5 linked regions of the Rattus norvegicus genome follow. The protein of the gene in region 1 interacts with the protein of each later gene in a biochemical or structural test. Links are inferred from orthologs where the notes say so. Each region holds a gene or a part of one and is shown on either strand. Other genes may lie near its edges.

Region 1 (3,515 bases):
TGTGGTTAAGTTTGTGTGCCTCTACTCCCCAGCTCTCGTTCCTTTTTTTTTTTTAACCGAATGAATTAATTAACTATTTTATTAAGTGGCGAGGTAATGTTCCAGGTTCTGTTCTTATGGAAGCAGGGGCCTTTGATTTCCCATGAGACATTTTCTCCAGCCCTTTTTTTTTCTTACAAAAGACTCTTGCTGGTTTTGTTTTGTTTTGCACATTCCTGGGGATCTTAATGACATAAGAGCTACAGCCTGTCTGAGGCGTGGCTGTCATCCTAGAAATTGCAGGGGTTTTAAATGCGTTTAACATATTGGGGGGTGTTGGGGAGTTGTTGGCGGAGGGGCGAGTGTGAGTACATGCATACACATGCCCGTGACATGCGTGTAGAGATCAGAGGATGTCTTGCTAGAGTTGGATTTTTACCTTCCATCACTTGGAGTCCAGGGATGAAACTCAGGTCACGCCACTGAGCCACCTGGCTAGCCCCTCACCGTGGAATTCTCACCAGGGAAGGTGGAAGTTGAATTGTGCCTCGTAAGGGTGTCCTGAGTAAAGTGTTCTCCAGCCTGGGGGCATCCTGCCACCTCACAGCCCACCGATGGCCTTCAGGGGTTGTGCCCTAAAATGAAGCTGAAGTGCTGAGTTTCCTGCCCGCCTTAGGTTTTCTCTCATTTTCTACACATCCTGGCTCTTTCCAAGGCCTCACAGAGAATGCCAGCTAATGCCAGCCCAGAGCCGCCTTTGTGGAGGGTTAGAGGGTCAGGGACCTGTTTAAGGATTGTGCACCAGCTTCCCCAATTCAAGTGGAGAGGTGAGAGAGCCCTGCCCACCCTAGATTTCAGTATCAAAGGCAGTGTTTGTTCAAACAAGGTGCTATGTGGAGGAAGCACGCACCAGGAGACTGGCTCCCCGAGAGGCTCATCCCAGCCAGATCTGAACGTGCCCTTGGCCTTGGGAATGCGCCCTGATCCCGTGAAGCCCCTGTGTGCCTTTGCTCAACAGTACCGTAGGTGTTTGGGGGAATGGGGAAAAGTTAATGTTCTTTTAAAAATCAGTGCTCCCCGCCCCCATTTAAGTGCCATTAAAATGTCCATCCATAGAGAAGGTATGTGCACCTGGGAATTTTTGCCGACGTATGTCTGTAACCATCACCAATCCATACAAAACGTGTCGGGGTGGGAGAGGTGGCTCGGTGGGTAAAGCGCTTGCTTGCCAGCCTAAGGATCTGAGCTCTGGTCCCAGCACCCACATAAAAGTTAGACACGGCAGCAAGGTCCCAGCACCCACATAAAAGTTAGACACGGCAGCAAGCGCCTTCAACCCAGGCACTGTGGGCGGTTGAGACGGGTGAATACAGGGTGGCTCACTGTGGGCCAGTCCAGCTGAAACAGCAGGCTCCGTGTTCATAGAGAGAACCTGCCTTTAAGGTTTAAGGGTGAAAAGCAACACAGAGGACTTACCTAATGTCGATGGTATCCATGGGTACACACGGGTGAGCATGCTCAAACGCATGCATGCACACATGTATGCACCACATACATACACATATCACGCATTTTTTAAAGATTTATTTATTTCATGTGAGTGAGGACACTGTAGCTGTCTTCAAACACACCGCATCTTTTTTTGTTTGTTTGTTTTAAATAAAGGAAAAAGGAATAGGGTTGGCATTGCTCTGGTTTCTCCAGACTTTTAGCGTGAGGCACCTAAGTCTGCGTGTAGTCGTTTGTATATCAGCTCTTTGCTGGGTTCTGTTTGTAATGTTCATGCATGTGCTTCATGCTGTCTTGGTTCATCCAGTCTCTGTTTTACCTGTTACGTGAATATTCCTTGGTTCAGCCACTTACTGTAGATAGGACTGGCGGGGAGGGTGTATTCCCTATCCGGGATGTGATGAACAGTGTAGCCCTGTCTTCTACTAAACCTTTGCCTGACCCGAGGCAGTTGTTCTGCCGTGCGGCTTGTGTTTGTGTAAACTTAGCATGTTTGTGTAAGCTTAGCGTGTTCTGCCAGCCTTACACAGTGGACACCCCAATAGATCCCCACCAGCCCGACAAGTTCACGGCAGACACTGAGCCGTCCATTTCTCTCAGTGTGGCCACTCTGGGAAGCGAACTGCGCCAGCACATCGTGACTGGGATTTGCATTTTCTGACGTCTGTTGAAATTTACCCTGCAGTCTTATTCCATTTAAACATGACAGTTAAACAGAAGCATCTGTCTGCCCACCTTGGCTCTTCGTTTCACAAATACCGTGGCTTCCCTGAGTACACAGCTGCCCAGACTGCTTCCACAGCCTCTAACTGACTTTCTGTAACCCAAGGAAGAAGAAGAAAAATGCCTCTATGTGCCCCGTCAGTACCACCCGGGACCGCGTGCCCACTTACCTGTACCGTATGGACTTCGAGAAGATGGGCAAATGTATCATCATAAATAACAAGAACTTCGACAAAGCGACAGGTGGGTGCGGGGCAGGGCTAGCCTCTCCTGACTCTCCCACTTTCTCCACAGACATTCCTCAGAGAGAGCTGTGCCAGGCTCTCCATGTCCAGGAGAGAGAGGTGCAGAGAATTCTCAGTCTGAGACCCTGCCGTGTATGTAGGAGCCTGTCTGAGTTACTGTCCTGTTGCTGGGATAAAATGGCCTTTTTTCTTGGGTGGTTCTAGATCATGTGACATTGGCAGCCAGTACTGGCCATCCCGAGACCACGAGGACGCTCACTTGTGTGGAGGCTGGGTCCTTGGGAGTTCGCCTCTAGTCTGTCTCTCCCGTGTGCGGTTAAGCTGTAACCCTGAAAGGTGCTTCTGCTTCAGGGGTTTTTGTTCCTGGAGCCCACACAGCACCTGGTCTGCCTAGAGTCTGTTCTCAGCATTGCTCACCCCACTCCTTGCCTCACCCCCACAGGTATGGATGTCCGGAATGGGACGGACAAAGACGCAGAGGCCCTCTTCAAGTGCTTCCGAAGCCTGGGTTTTGAAGTGACCGTCTATAATGACTGCTCTTGCGCAAAGATGCAGGATCTGCTTAGACGAGGTGAGTGCGAGCCGTCCTGGCCCGGCCTACCCCGGCACCTAGAGGAACAGGGTCTGGGCTCCAGAATGTCGGCCGTAGGCAGACCCCATTGTAATCGTGTGGATGGACTTTGGACAGGGCGAGAGAGAGACTGGAGAGTAAATTAGGGACCAGACCAGACTCCAGGAGCTATGCCCACCTCCCGGAGACGTGTGTTTACTGTATACCAGGCCTATCCAACCTTGACATTAACTGATGTCTTCATGCTCGTGCACTGTGCAGAGTTGCAAAGTCAATCCGAGAAGACTTAGGTAAGTTTCCCACTTTGTAGTGAGCCTGAGTCATAGCTGTGCTATGGTGCAGGCTGCCCACAGTTGGATGTGCCTTAAAGGATGCCACTGGGGTACTGTCCCACCTGAGGCAAAAGTAGAATCCCACCGCTCACCAGACACCGACCTGCAGACAGCAGGGGCTCAGCTTTCCTTAACCACAGATCTAAACAGGAAGAC
Region 2 (3,515 bases), on another chromosome or scaffold:
CTCTCATGTGGTAGATGTGGGAGTACTTACCAAGTAGGGCTGATGTGGGGATTCAGTAAAACCATGCATAAGATATTTTGTGTAGGATAATAGTAAATTTTCAAGAGTTAAGTTGCTCTTCATAGTGTTGTTATTATATGTCAAAGTGAAAGGAATTAGCTATTAAGGGCTTATGGTTAAAAAGGTCAGAGAGATAGGACAGAACTATGTGGTGCAATCATTTGTATAAAGTTAATCATCATCTAAGAAATAGGAGAAGGTGGAGAGAATGTATGGATTGTGTGTGTGGTTTTTTCCTTTTTTTTTTTTTTTTTTTTTTTTTGCTGTGACAGTTGTTCTGTCTTCCCAGCATGCTTTAGCTAGTGCCCTTGCTTTGTCTCAACGCTGTCTCGCTGCTGCTCTGGATGTATGTGGTTCCCCATGCTAGCAGCTGTTCTTTACTTTGTCTCATTTTGGAAAGCCCACAAAAAAGATAAGCATATGTTTAAATGATGTGTAATGGTTCTCAAAGATAAAGTTAGACTGTAAAGCACTTAGAGATGTTCTCTTTCAAAACTGTGCTGATATAGGCAAACTATAGAAACAAGTTTGACTGTAAATGTATCAATTTTGTAACTTTTTAATTTGTAGGCTTGAGTTTGAAAAAATTGAAGAACCTGAATTTATTGCATTATGTCAGAAGTTAAAGGTGCCCGATCATGTCAGAGAGAGAGCTTGGCTAACGTGGGAGAAAGTTTCATCTGTGGATGGAATCCTGGTAAGGATGTCTTTAAAGTTTTAAAGTCAGTTCTGTACCGATGATATTTTTTTCTCTGTTCATCTCCTCCCCCACTCTTCTTTCCCATCCTTCTATCTTCCATTTGCTGGTTCCCTTTCACGTCCAGATGGCTGCTCCTGCATTTGTGTCACATCTGTGCTATTATTCTTTCCCCTACACTTTGAAGGTCTTTTCCTCTCCTCTCATCTCCGCCTTCCAACTTTCATAACCATACACACACACACACACACACACACACACACACACACACACACACTTAAATTTAGCATCTTCAATAGGTGAGAGATACTTGTCTTTTTTTAGTCTGGCTTATTTTGATTAATACAACCTATGACCTCCAGTTACATTCATTTTTGTACAGATAACATGATTTCATTTTTCTTTGTGGTTGAATAAATTCTTTGTGTGTGTGTGTGTGCGTGTGCGTGTGCGTGTGTGTGTACTGGATTTTTTTTATCTGTGCATGGGGCATCTACACTTGTTCTATTTCGTAGCTACTGTGAGTAGTATGACAGGAAACATGGATGCATGAGTAGTACCTCTTTGGTGTCGGAGTAGTAGTTTTATGTAACCTCACACTGACTTGCATAGTGGTTGCACTACTCTACCTTACTACCAGCAGTATGTTAGGCTCTTCTTTCCCCACATCTTTACTAGCTAACATTTGTTGTTTTGATGTTAGCCTTGCTTGGGCAAAATGGAATCTCAAAGCAGTTTTACATTGCATTTCTCCATTTCAAATTTTTAATGCTCAGATGTATATTTTTTTCTGAGAACTGTGTGTTTAGTTGGTTCATTGGCCTAATTTTTGAGTGAATGATTTTCTTTAATAATATTTAAAATTTGAGGTTCTTCATCAGTTTTAGATATTAATACCATCTGATGTGTTAGTAAATATTTTTCCTGGTCTGTCTTGAAACTCACTATGGAGACCAGACTGGCTTCTAACTTACAGAACTGCATGCCTCTGCCTCCCAAGGTGCTTGGTATTAAAGGTGTGTACCACTACACTCAGCCCTGTATTATTTTTAATGTCTGTCTGTCTGTCTGTCTGTCTGTCTGTCTGTCTGTCTGTCTGTCTGTCTAATCTATCTATCTATCTATCTATCTATCTATCTATCTATCTATCTAATGTGTGTGCATACATGTTCTCATGCACAGTGCATGTGTTATGGTCAGAGGAACTCTTTCAGGAGTCAGTTCTTCTGCCATATGGGTTCTAGAATTGAACCTAGGTTATTGGGCTTAACAAGTTCCTTTACCCATTAAAGTCACACTGGCCTGGTATTGGGCAAAAGATATGGATTGAGTTATACATCTCTTGCAGGTAGATGCTGAGTTACCTCAGCATTATTTGAAGAGACTTTGTTCTCTGAGTGTCAACAACTTGGTGGCTATCAATGTATAGGTTTAATTCTGAAATCTCTTTGTTCGTCTGTGTATTTTTTATGCCAGTATCATAAAAGTTTTGTTACTATGGTTTTACAGTATACTTTGAAATCGACTATTCTGATCACCTGCTTAGGATTGCTTTCGTTATTCAGGATGTTTTGTCATCTCTTTTTTTTTTTTTTTCCGGAGCTGGGGACCGAACCCAGGGCCTTGCGCTTGCTAGGCAAGCGCTCTACCACTGAGCTAAATCCCCAACCCGATGTTTTGTCATCTCATACTCTAGTTTCATTTCTATTGTGATAACATATCCTGACAAAAACTACTTAGGAGAGAGAGCTTTATTTTAAGTCAGAATTCCAGATTATACTCTGTAATGATAGGGAAGTCAAAGAGGCAGAAGCGTAAAACAACTAGTCACATCACATCTGCAGTAAAGAGCAGAGAGGGATACATGCATGCATGCATGCCCGGTACTCATAGAACTTTCTCCATTCCTACTTCTGTAGTTCAGAGGCAAAACCCCTAGAATGGTGCTGCCTACTCTCATGCTGGGTCTCCCCAACAATTAAGGCAGTCAAGACAGTTTGCCACAGCTATGTCCAAGACCAACCTGATCTCTATAACTTCTGCAGACTCCCTTCCCAGGGATGCTAGCTACACTGTGTCAAGTTGGCAATTCAAGCTAATATTACAAGCTGACATCATCCTAGCTCTGTCAAGAATGTCACAAGAAATAGGGCTGACATTGTATTAATTCCATAGATATTTTCGGTAATGTAACTATTTTTACAGTATTAATTCTGCTAATCCAAGAACATAAGACTTTTTTGTTTATTGTTTGTTTTTTTAATTTTCTACTATCCTCTTAATCTTCCTTAAAGGTTTTAAAGTTTTCATTGTAATGGTCTTTTACTACTTTGGTTATGTTGATTCCCAGGTATTTTCTTTTTTGAAGCTAATATTTTTGTCTTGTTTGTTTAAAACAAGATCTTGCTTTGTAATTCTAAATGGTCTAGAACTCATTGTGTAGACCAAGCAGCCTTGAATCACAGAGATCCTGCCTCTGCCTTCTAAGTGCTGGGATTTATGGTATGTGCCACCATGTTCTTGAAGCTGTTAGCAATGGGATCTTTTCCTACTGATTTTTTTTTCTTGGCAGGTTAGTTATTGGTATGTAGAAAGGTACTTATTTTTGTCTGTTGACATTATATTCTGCTGTGTTGAAAGTATTTATCACATCTAAGAGTTTTCTACTGGAGTCCTTAAAATACAGGATCATGCCTCTGACAAATAGAGATACTTTCTTTCCCTTCCATTTGTATCCCTTTCATTTCTCTAGTTTTGC
Region 3 (3,515 bases), on another chromosome or scaffold:
TCCTCCCTGCACTACCGACCATCAAGAGCCTGGGGAGACCCTGGTCATGAATAGACATGACCGAGGCCACATAAGAGTGAATCACTGTGCCTTGTTGGGAAGGAGAGTGCTACTTGCTCCTTCAGGCATGTGGACACTCCTAAAGGCTGTAGAGGCCATGCTGGTGTGGGCAGAGGACAAGGTTCTGCTTCTGGGCACTAGCCCAGCTGCACCTAGTCTGCCCTTAATGGTGAACTCATTATCCCAAGTCCTCTCCGCTGCTTGAATCCTGGGGTCTGCAAACACATGTGGTCAGTTAGAGCCTGCTTTCTGCTCCTCCTTGACAGACCCTTTCTCTGCTGTCTCCTTGCTTGCAGTTCACACCTAAATCAGTGATTTTGTTCTCTACAGAGACTTCAGTGAACGCAGGTGGTGTCCTCACTGTCCACCCCCTAGAAAGAGCAGTTAGATCTCCCAGTTGTGAGATCTGAAGCAGAGGCCATGGCCTGACTATAACTAGTGCTGTGTTTCACTCACAGAGGCCCATCCATCCATGCCAACCTGGCAGTCAGTGCTGGGTACTTGGTGCTTAACTCAGTGTGGCCATACTGATCAGACCTTTCAGCTTGGTCAGCTTGTGCTTTCTTACTCGGGAGTTGGGAGGAAGAGTATGGAAGGACGCAGAGCTCTCACCACCCACCTTCTTCTGAGCATTCTGGCCTCATCTCTAGATTCAGCCTTTCTAGTCTGCCCCTGAGCAGGCCCAGGGTAGCCAGCATGGATCACCCATTTGTTCTCTGTGTAGCCTATGCCCTACCCCATTTTCTCTGTTGCACACTCATGGGTTGGGGTCTTGGGTTTGCTGTTCTGCCTTCTGTTTCCCTACTGCTTCTGTCTTCTTCAGAAGATTTTCCCTAAGAGAAGAGTAAAGGCCAGGGCTGGCCAGACTCTGACCTCTCCTGAAGAGCCAGCTGTTTTGTCTTGCCTTTGTTCATCCTTTCCTGAGAGCGCAGTAGAATGGTCTTAGCCTGACGCTTCTGATCTCTTACCCCAGACAAACCCCTGTCTAACATGAAGATCCTGACTCTTGGTAAGCTCTCCCAGAACAAGGACGAAGCAAAGGCCATGATTGAGAAACTCGGAGGCAAGCTGACAGGATCTGCCAACAAGGCCTCCTTGTGTATCAGCACTAAGAGTAAGTTTGACGGGCGCGTGCCTCTCAGAGGTGGTGAGGGTTCTGTGGCACAGCTAGGGTCAGACACTTCTCACTGTAGCTTGTAGGTAAAACTGGTATTTGTACTGTATTCCGTGTGTTCACACAGGCTCCTGGTCCCAGTCAGACCATAAGCTTACACTGCTCAGTGTTCATGGATGACCCTGGGTTCCTTTGTAGGCAGGCGGAGGTTACCACTTTGTGGTCTGGTGATGGATGCCAGACCCACATTTATATTAAGACTGTTCTGCTAAGTGTTATGGTCTGGGCCTAAGAGTCCATTTCTGCTGAGTGCCTCCTGACACCACACTCAGGATTTAGAGAAGGTGGCCACCCTTGGCTTTGTGGACCAGAGGGACAGCCAGTACCACTGGAGCGTGACTGCTGAGATGAGGTTCAGCGTACAGCTTGGGAGAGAAGTTGTTGGTCATGGGGTCGTTGGCCTTCTCAGACTGTAGGAAGGTAGCCGTTCAGCTTATCGGTTGAGGTTTTCATTTCTCCCTGTCTGGTTGTAAACAGAGGAGGTGGAGAAGATGAGTAAGAAGATGGAGGAAGTGAAAGCAGCCAATGTTCGAGTCGTGTGTGAGGACTTCCTCCAGGATGTGTCTGCCTCAGCTAAGAGCCTCCAAGAGCTGCTCTCAGCCCATAGCTTGTCCTCGTGGGGGGCTGAGGTGAAGGTAGAGCCTGGTGAAGTGGTGGTCCCCAAGGGGAAGTCAGCTGCACCCTCCAAGAAGAGCAAGGGTGCTGTCAAGGAGGAAGGTGAGACCCACCTGCCCTACCTGTGACCTTGGTTCTGTGTCCCTAAGGTGCTGTGGCGAGCAGTATCCTTAGTTCAGTGAGCGGACACAAAGCAGCAGGCCCTGTGGGGCAACAGGTGGTGTGCAGGTGCCATGACAGATGCCTCTGGAAACTGTTCTGCCTTTGCCTAAGTGGAGTCTTTGTGTTCCTCTGTCCCTTCCTTCCCAAGGTGTCAACAAGTCTGAAAAGAGGATGAAACTAACTCTGAAGGGAGGAGCAGCCGTTGATCCTGACTCTGGTGAGTGATCAGAGCCTCCCATGCCCTGGGAGATTAGGAGATGTCTCTAGTCAGGGTAGCTAGAGGGGAGCAGGCCAGTCCTGGACGCATGAGGGTCAGTGGGTACCTCTAAAGGTGTTGTGACATGAAACTAGCTGGGGACATGAGGCCTCTGTTCACCCTCTCCCTTCAAGGGAGAAAACCATAGGAGCTTTGTCTCTGGGGCAGGTCTGGAACACTCTGCACATGTCCTGGAGAAAGGCGGGAAGGTGTTCAGTGCCACGCTTGGCCTGGTGGACATTGTGAAAGGGACTAACTCCTATTACAAACTGCAACTTCTGGAGTCCGACAAGGAGAGCAGGTGAGCCTGGGCCTCCACACTGAGTGTGTGCTGCCCACCTGTGGAAGTCAGGCCGCTGCAGGGCCTGGAGCAAGAGAAACGGTCACAAAAGCCTATAGCGTTTGAAGTTCCTCCATAAAAAATAGCCACTCCTGAGTATCACTTATGCTGCCTTGCTTAACCATCACGGGTGTAGCTCCACTGATCCACTGGGCTATTCTGTTAGCCTCGAACTCGGAGGCCCACCTTCCTGTTACTTCCCAAATGCTGTGATTAAAGGCGTGCGCTACCACACCTGACTTCAAATTTATCGTTTTATGCTATTCCACACTTGCTGATCACTAGAATGAAGGTTATAGTTTAAACATCCTCTCTCAGTTATAGATGCTTGCCTAGTGTGTTCGAGGCCCTGGGTTCCACCTGCAGCACCACTCAATCAACACATGAAGGAGAGAGTGTGCTTTTAATGCTGCCCCTTATGGAGGAGGGCCTAACAGAACAGAAGCTCACCCTGGTCTCTGTCCCTTTACAGGTATTGGATCTTCCGGTCCTGGGGCCGAGTGGGCACAGTTATCGGCAGTAACAAGCTTGAGCAGATGCCGTCCAAAGAGGATGCTGTTGAACACTTCATGAAGTTATACGAAGAGAAGACTGGAAATGCCTGGCACTCGAAAAACTTCACAAAGTATCCCAAGAAGTTCTACCCTCTGGAGATTGACTATGGCCAGGTAATCACAGTAAGGTCTGTTCCTTTAACTCCACAGATATGTTTAAAGAAGAGTTAACAATACCAGGTGACGAATTCTTCCCCCCAAAGTGGAGGAAAACTTAACCAACTCATTCCATGAGGCCAGTGTTACCAAAGAACATCAGAAGAATATGCTGAACACCATCTCTGTAACGTAAAATCCTAACTAGTAAGTCAGGCCGTGTATGAGGTTTGTACACCAAGCTCAAGTACAATACAA
Region 4 (4,288 bases), on another chromosome or scaffold:
CTCTCACACCACACTGAGGGAAGTCAAGGCAGAAAATCAGGGCAGGAACCTGGAGGCAGGAACTGAAGCAGAGGCCATGGAGGGGTGCTGCTTACTGGCTTGCTGCTCATGGCTTTCTCCGTCTGCCTTCTTAACACCCCAGGACCACCAGCCAGAGGTGGCACTGTCCAGTGACCTGGGCCCTCCCACACCAATTATCAATGTGGTCGGGGTACTTTGTCGTTTGAGGTTACCTCTTCCTAATGATAGTGTCAAGTTTTCATAAAGCTGACCAGCACTCTGGGGCTATTACAACCCCCCCTTGTTTTATTTTACCCTCAATGTCACACAATTAAACTTCACAAGATCAACTATTGACCATGAACACTGACCTGACCTCCTAGGACTTCTGCTGCCTTCATCCACACACCTATCTTCCCCTTGAAACTCTGGAGCCCTTCAGAAGACAAGGGCATCTGCCTAAGAGTTTACTTAAGAGACAGCCAGGCCGGTGCCCAGAGTTCCCGCAGCTGCCTTATCCTGGAATCACAGAGGCAGCAGGGTGTCACCAGGTAGCAGACAGTACCTATCTGGATGGTAAAGTCTCACAGGTAGAGAGGACCATGCCTCAGAATCCTTCCTATCCCCCCACAGTGCACAGCAAGGCTCGCACACAGCAGAAGCAGAGCCTTGCCGGCTAAACCCACTTTCCATGCCTCCCTGCAAGATGCCTCTCACACAGCACATCCATCTGGACCTGCCCATCAGGTGCCTCAGAGCCCATCTAGTTGGGGACTTTACAGACAGTGATCAGCTGCTCCTTGCTGGCCCTCTGCCCGCCCAAGTGCCCACAGCTTGCTTCTCCAGCACAGGGACATTTATTCCTGGTTCAGCCCACAGAGAGAAGGCAGAAACTATCATCAGGATCCAAACGACTTTGCGGTTTTCCTTTCAGTAGGACGATCCCTGCCCAAGAACCAGGAAAACAGAGAACTCACTTTGCACCATTACTTCAGCAACTTCCACCTCACTGACCAACTCGGCCATACACGGCGCAGACTGTGCACGCCATGCCCTTTTCTAACCAAGTTTACCTCAATGCCCACCAGCCTGCTCATGTGGGAGTACTCTCTTCCCTCCACAGCCTGTTAACATCTCAGCGCCTGTTGCCCCTCATCTCTCAGAAGGATCCGTCATCTTCCTCCCTCTGCTCATCCCTCATGCATGTACAAGATCTGTCAAATGAATGCCCCAGTAGAGGCCCACCTCTCCCCTCCTACATCCAGAAGCTATGCATCCTCACCATTACTCATTGAATACTGTTGTCAGCCTGTCTGTCAGTCAATAACCTCCCAATCTCAGGCGAGTGTGCATGTGCCTTTCTCTGGTAATCTGACCCAGGCGCATACACCCTCAGCTTTCCAGAGAAAGCCCTCTACTTCTGGCCGACACAGTGCTTTGGGCCTCCTTTCCAGGAACATGTGTCATCTCAAGGTCTTGGAGACAGTCTCACCTGCGGTCACCCACACCTGACACAGGTGTTCTGCCCCAGCTGCAAATGCCGTTGACCCTCCTATACTACTTAGCTGCAATTCACACTCTCACTCAGGTTATGAAAGTTAGGATAAATAAGACCACTCACTCTGCCTAATGATCTTGACCAATGGAACTGCACATAACTATTAGGACGAAATGAGAGCTTATAGGAAGGGGACTGGGTCATTTCTTCATCTTTCATTCATTGTTGGGGACCACTCCTGCCTCCAGGGGCAGTTAGTCTCCAGCACACATAACCCTAAGACAGAACTCAAGTATCATTTAAAGGCAAGACAGTGAAACAGCACAGGTACGAGGAACGCTTGTCTTTACATTCTCCCTGGAACCACTCAGGAAATTACAGGTGACTGTACAATCACTGGAGAGAGGAGTAGGAAGAGCCGTTTCTTGACACATCTCGCGGCAACAGGCTGAACATAAACTCCAAGCCGCAATAATGGAGACAAAGGGACTGGAAGGGGATGCTAGGAGAGTCAACAGAGGTACCCAGGTTGCACATGGGCAAAAAAGGCTTCAGACTCAAATTCCGGTACGACCAGGGTGGCTACATTAGAAGGGTCATGTGGAAATGCCAGCTGTGTGCGATGAGATCTCTCAGCACCCCTCGTCAACCTCAGACAATGCCAGCCTAGCCTAGACTGCCCCTGCGCCCCCGGCCTCACCGATGGAGATCTCCTGAGCGAAGGCCAGCGAGATGAGCAGCAGAGGCAGACCCACGGCAATGCACGTGACCATCTTGTCCACTGCCAGCTCCAGTCGCAGCCCCTTGAACTTGGGCTCGGTGGGCTCCTTCAGCAAGAAGTCCGAGAACACGTACTCCGTGGCCAGGTGGGCGATGGCCATGGTCACGGCGCGCCGGGTGCCGCGGGACGGGCAGTCGAAGGCAGGCGCGGGTGCTGCGGGAAGCCGGGGAGAGGCGCCGAGTCCGCGCCGTCAACGACCCGGAGCGCGGCTTCCGGGCCGGCCCAGCATTGCACCGCCTTGGCAGTCGCTGCGCCTACCTCGCAGGGACCGCACGAGAGCTGCAGCCGCCTGGGATCGCTCCAAGCAACACAGGGCGCACGAGCCCCGAAGTCTTGGCGGCAGCGATCACACCCCGTGCTCAGCTCCCGCGGGTCCCCAGCGCGCGCGACACCAGGACTCCGGCCGCCTTGAGCGCGCAGGGACAACAACGTGCCGGGAACAAAGCTAGCTCTCCGCTACAGCTGCTCGCGCCTGCACTGCGCGCTCGGCTACGGGAACCGAGCTCTTCCGGAACCTACGCGGGGGAAACCGGGTTCCCAGGGGCGAGCAGTTTCCGGAAGCGCGCTGACGCCGGCGGAGTGGGCGCGGCCGCACCGCGACCCTAGAACCCGAACTAGCTAAGGATAGCCCCACCCTGTCTCCTGCGGACCGCCCCTCCCTGTGCTCTTCGCTCAAAGGATTTCAAAAAAAAAAAAAAAAAAAAAAAAAGACTTCAAGAAACAGCAGATGCCAGATAAAGATCGAGATAATCTTGCGGCGATGACCTAATGTTGTAGAGGGGGGCTGCACCTTTCCAGAGTTCCGTAAGGCAGACTCATGCCCTGCCCTTTACATTTTCCTCCACCTTCCCGCCCCAAGCAGTAGTCAGGGGGTCCTTGAGGCATACCAACTGGTGTGTTTAATGTGTTGAACTACAGTGAGCTCCTTCTGAATACCTCACTTACAGCAGACAATGAGGCATTCAAGAAATGTCCCAGCCATTTGCTGCAAATGGCCTTGGAAGGTGAAGTGCCCAGCATAGATGCCTTTGCTGGGCTGTGTGCATCAGCGGGGTCTAAGGAGGTAACCCCAAGGCCCACATACCTGTCTACTGGACTAATCCTCTAAAGACCATCAGAGACCTTCACAGCCTGGCTCTGGCAAAGCTCACACTCAAATCCTTGTCTCAAACCTCAACTACTGTCTTCTACATCTCCTTAACCATAGCTGTTGGCTCTGGTGCCCAAGGTAGAATCCATTTTTAGAGTTTCCATCACACTTGACAGCTGTGTCAACTAATTCTGAACTGATGTGCTTCTTTTTTCTAAATATAGTAGACTTGACAGCTCGTCACCTGCACAGCCAGCAACCAGCACCCAGTTTCCCCTTCCATCACTTAACTGCTTACAGAAGGCATCCTCCAGATCATCCAAACCGTTCTCCAAGTGGCTATGAAGTGTGGGGAGATAAAAAGTGGTATGCACATCTTTAGTTAATTTTATTCAAATGGTCCATAAATGAATCTCTTCCACCTTGAGTGGATTTTAAGTAGCCCAGTTCCCACTCCTGTCTGTTCTTCTCGAGGCATGTGGCATGGATTGGGATTGGGATGAGCAGGGCAATGTGGCCTGGAGGATGAGTCTGTTTAGGGCGGGCAGAACTGTGCTGAGTGTTTTCTAGGAACCAGTAAATCACAAACACACTTTCCCTTCTCTTTCTGCCAAGATCAACTCAACCAAGAGGAGAAATGGCCCCTGTGGGAAGCTTCTCATGACTCCTCCCCCAGTTGGGATGAGTCAGGCACTCTCTTGGTGCTCCTATACTGGCTAGTTTTATCAACTTGTGTTTGACACAAGCTGGGATTATCACAGAGAAAGGAACCTCCCTTGATAAACTGTTTTCCATGAGATCCAGCTGTAAGGCATTTTCTCAGTTAGTGATCAAGGGTGGGACTAGCCAGTATAGGGGCACCAAGAGAGTGCCTGACTCATCCCAACTAGGGGAGGAGTCATGAGAAGCTTCCCAAAGT
Region 5 (3,515 bases), on another chromosome or scaffold:
AATCTTTTGAAGAGCAAATGCCTTTAATTTTGATGATGACATTTTATCAGTTTTATCTTTTATGGATTATGGTTTTGGTCCTTGTATAAAAGTTCTGTTTTTGAATATTAACCCCCGTGCTTCAGAATGCTAAGCAGAGGTTCTGTATCTGAGCTCCAGGCTCCTTTGCTTTAGATTTATTTTTACTGTATTTACTGACATACATGTCTGAGTTAGGTCTACTATTGCTATGATGAAACACATGGCCAAAGCAACTTAGGTCAAAGCAAATAAAGGATTTATTTATTTTATTTTCACAGTTCACCATAAAAGTCAGGGCAGGCACTCAAGCAGGCTGGAACATGGACGCAGGAGCTGATGCAGAGGCCATAGGAGTGCTGCTGAGCTGGTTTGCTCCCATGGCTTGCTTAGCCTGCTTTCTTATAGCATTTAGGACCACCAGCCCAAGGCTGTTCCCACTCACAGTGGACTGGGGACATTATATTAAGTCACTAATTATAAAAAATGCTGTACAACTGGATTTTAGGGAGGCATTTTTCAATTGACGTTCCTTCCTCTCAGATGATTTTAGCTTATGTCAAGTTGACAAAACTATCTGTCACAGTGTGTGACTGCATGTGGGAATGTGCACACGAGTGTAGGCCCAAGAAGGCCAGAAACACTGAGTCCCCTGGAGCTAGAGGTCCAGAGGTTGTGAGCTTCCTGAGCTAGGAACTGATCTCTGGTGCTCTGTTAAGAGCAACTTGAGCATTGAGCTCTCTCTCCAGCCTTCCTGTCTAGATGAACATTCTGACGTAAGGAAGGACAAAAGGTCTTTTCTTACATTTCAGGATAAAGTTCATCCTTAGTTTATTTTTGCATGTAGCATAAGTCATGGGTTTGTGCTTTAAAAAGAAAATTTGCATGTAGACATCCAGTTGTTCAGCATTTTTTCTAAAGTGAGTAGAATGGAGGTAGATGTTACATGAACTTCCTCCAAGAAGTCTTGGTAGGTGAAATCTGTGAGAAACATGGCCACATAGGTGGGGAAATAACTTGACTATTGGTTTCCTGGATGGAGTGTGGGGTATTGAACTCTGGAGCAGGATTGGGTTTTACTATGTTATGAACAATGAAAATGTTAATGGATAATGACTAATAGGTTTTGAAATCTTGTTAAGCATGAAAAAGACAATGTTTATAACACTGTGTTTCACATGACAACTTTTGCTCCTTTCTAAGTGCACAATGTCCCCTCCCTTTTGTTTTGTATAAGTGGGATGAGACAGCAAAACAGTGGAATGCACCAACAGCTAGGAGTGTGTGTGTGAGAGTTTGGTTTCTGGTAGAAACATGTCTGCTGGGTTGTGATATAAACGCTTTTTTGGTGGGTATAATGAAGAGAAAGCCAGTCATCTAGAATAATCGTTTATTTTTGATATGAAATACTTTTAAAATAGTTTTTGTTTCACATTTTAGGTGTGAGTTCTTGATACGGATGAAGGGTCAGGAGTTTGTTGATGAGATTCAAGCTAGATATCCTCATCTTCTTGAGCAGGTAAACTGATTTTAAAATTTACATGAGAGCTGGGAAGGTGGCTCATTTAGGAAAGTTCTTACTGCTGTATGAGGCCCTGAATTCAGATCCCAGCAGCACATACGAAGCTGGGTGTACCAGCATATATCAGTAACCCAAGGGTGTTGGAAACCGGTGAGCCCTTGGAGGTCACTGGCAGGTAATCTGGCCAGATAACTCAGTGAGTTCCAGGTTGAATGAGACAGATCTTGTCTTAAAAAAGACACTCGTGTCTACCTTTGTCTACCCATGTTTGCACACATAGATGCATATACCCATATGAACAGGTTCATATACTCTCTACACATACAAATAAAGTATAGCATTGAATTATACTATGAAGTAATAATTACAGAAATCTTTGAAGTGATGTTTATTTTTATTTTATTTATATAATTTTGAGGCAAAATTGAGTTTACAATTTTTTTATAGCATTTTAGGCACTGTACTTAAGGAAAAAGAGCTGGAGTTCAAGTCCCTTGGCATGGGCCACAGTAATGGCATCCTTGACAGTTTTGTTGTTAGCTTGCTGTTCAGGGGTCTTTCTTTATAAATGTTGTCTTTTCCTTTTCCTTTAAAAAAACTTATATCCTGCCACTGTACAGAGGTTTTTTGTTTTTTGTTTTTTTTTTTAAACTGGGGTTAAAGAGGTAACTTCAATGTCTCTTTAGTCTCTTCCATAAAAAAAAAAAAAATCCAAAATCAAAATCTTGTTAGGAGTTAAGACCTTTGAAGAGTTACTCAAACGAACTGTCACTTTCCCGATGGAGGGAGGCGGCATTGCTGCTCTCCTGCTCTCTAACATAGCAGCCACACTGTGGTTGTCACTTGGATGCAGATAACAGTGTAAGCACAGTGGTACAAAACAAAGTAAAGTATATGTGTGCATTTATTTTAGAGTTTTGGGACAGGGTTTCTTGTAGCTGAGGCCTGCCTTGAACTCCTGATCTTGTCTCAGACTCCTAAGTGCTGAAATTACAGGAGTATGCTAGCATACCTGGAGTTTCCAAAAGGATGTGTGCATTTGCTTAAATGTCTGTTTGCTGGGCTGCGGTGGCTCACTCCAGTAATCCCGGTACTTGGAAAGCTGAGGCAGGAAGGTTTCCCTGAGTGGTCGGTAAGCTCAGCAGCAGAGTTAAGGGCCTGTCTTACAAGGCAGATCCCCGAGTGCTGTCTAGACGGTGTGACATTTCTGGTTTACCTACTGAGTGTTCTCTTCTCTCATAGCTGTTGTCCACTTCAGACACCTCAGAAGAAGAAAATGCTGACCCTCCAGGTAAGTAGGAAAATTGTTTAAATACAACTGTGAATTTTTGTAAGAACGTTAAGAATGAAAGTATATTAGAGAAAGGGGTGGTGGTACTTTTAAAGTCATAGGGGAAATTTTGGGACGTTAACTAGAAAATGTATTGTTTCTGCTGAGATTCACGACTTTAATATATATTATTATATAAAGAGCTGACATATGAAGTGATGAGACACATGCAGAAAACAAAAGCTTGAGGTGTACCAAATGAAAGCTTTACCTCCAGAGAGAAAGTCACTTTGCCTAGAATGTGTTAGAAGAGGCTGGCCTGCAGGTGATTGATGGTGGGGCTGGAGATAGAATAAGGATGCAATGCAAGGTCTGCATGAGAGCTGGATATAACCAGATCTTAGTAGTTCCGGGTGCGTGCGTGCGTGCGTGCGTGCGTGTGATCTACATGTGTTATGGTTAAATAACTGTCACTTTAAGTGCTGATCATTTCAGAAGGGGAGAGCTGGTTCTGGCTCACCGTTTGAAGAGAGGCGTTGGCAGCTCTGCAGCCAGTACAGAGAAAGATGACCAAGATCTAGAAAAGTTATAGAAACCTTCACTGCAGAGTAGATAGGGCCTTGGTCATGGAAGCTGTGCTCAGTGGGTAAGACACTGGGTCATGTGTGAGAGGAAGGAGAACCTGAGTATGTGGTAAGTGCCCGT

Evidence for each region.
Region 2: of the proteins of Casp7 (region 1) and Rb1, one has a biochemical effect on the other in vitro, tested with the Homo sapiens proteins (2 studies listed by BioGRID). The link is inferred for Rattus norvegicus from reciprocal best matches to the Homo sapiens genes CASP7 and RB1.
Region 3: of the proteins of Casp7 (region 1) and Parp1, one has a biochemical effect on the other in vitro, tested with the Homo sapiens proteins (3 studies listed by BioGRID). The link is inferred for Rattus norvegicus from reciprocal best matches to the Homo sapiens genes CASP7 and PARP1.
Region 4: of the proteins of Casp7 (region 1) and Panx1, one has a biochemical effect on the other in vitro, tested with the Homo sapiens proteins (2 studies listed by IntAct). The link is inferred for Rattus norvegicus from reciprocal best matches to the Homo sapiens genes CASP7 and PANX1.
Region 5: the proteins of Casp7 (region 1) and Birc2 form a complex in vitro, tested with the Homo sapiens proteins (2 studies listed by BioGRID, with this or other methods). The link is inferred for Rattus norvegicus from reciprocal best matches to the Homo sapiens genes CASP7 and BIRC2.

Annotation. Positions count from the first base shown.
Region 1 is NC_086019.1:265,470,134-265,473,648, forward strand, and holds part of Casp7 (caspase-7), read left to right. Parts: intron 1-2,317; coding exon 2,318-2,454; intron 2,455-2,898; coding exon 2,899-3,027; intron 3,028-3,515. UniProt on the Homo sapiens protein: Thiol protease involved in different programmed cell death processes, such as apoptosis, pyroptosis or granzyme-mediated programmed cell death, by proteolytically cleaving target proteins.
Region 2 is NC_086033.1:54,905,358-54,908,872, reverse strand, and holds part of Rb1 (retinoblastoma-associated protein), read left to right. Parts: intron 1-630; coding exon 631-757; intron 758-3,515. UniProt on the Homo sapiens protein: Tumor suppressor that is a key regulator of the G1/S transition of the cell cycle. The hypophosphorylated form binds transcription regulators of the E2F family, preventing transcription of E2F-responsive genes.
Region 3 is NC_086031.1:94,856,469-94,859,983, forward strand, and holds part of Parp1 (poly [ADP-ribose] polymerase 1), read left to right. Parts: intron 1-1,033; coding exon 1,034-1,174; intron 1,175-1,711; coding exon 1,712-1,951; intron 1,952-2,159; coding exon 2,160-2,228; intron 2,229-2,435; coding exon 2,436-2,568; intron 2,569-3,079; coding exon 3,080-3,275; intron 3,276-3,515. UniProt on the Homo sapiens protein: Poly-ADP-ribosyltransferase that mediates poly-ADP-ribosylation of proteins and plays a key role in DNA repair.
Region 4 is NC_086026.1:20,168,388-20,172,675, forward strand, and holds the start of Panx1 (pannexin-1), read right to left. Parts: upstream 2,814-4,288; 5' UTR 2,380-2,813; coding exon 2,199-2,379; intron 1-2,198. UniProt on the Homo sapiens protein: Ion channel involved in a variety of physiological functions such as blood pressure regulation, apoptotic cell clearance and oogenesis.
Region 5 is NC_086026.1:13,261,526-13,265,040, reverse strand, and holds part of Birc2 (baculoviral IAP repeat-containing protein 2), read left to right. Parts: intron 1-1,458; coding exon 1,459-1,537; intron 1,538-2,782; coding exon 2,783-2,831; intron 2,832-3,515. UniProt on the Homo sapiens protein: Multi-functional protein which regulates not only caspases and apoptosis, but also modulates inflammatory signaling and immunity, mitogenic kinase signaling, and cell proliferation, as well as cell invasion and metastasis.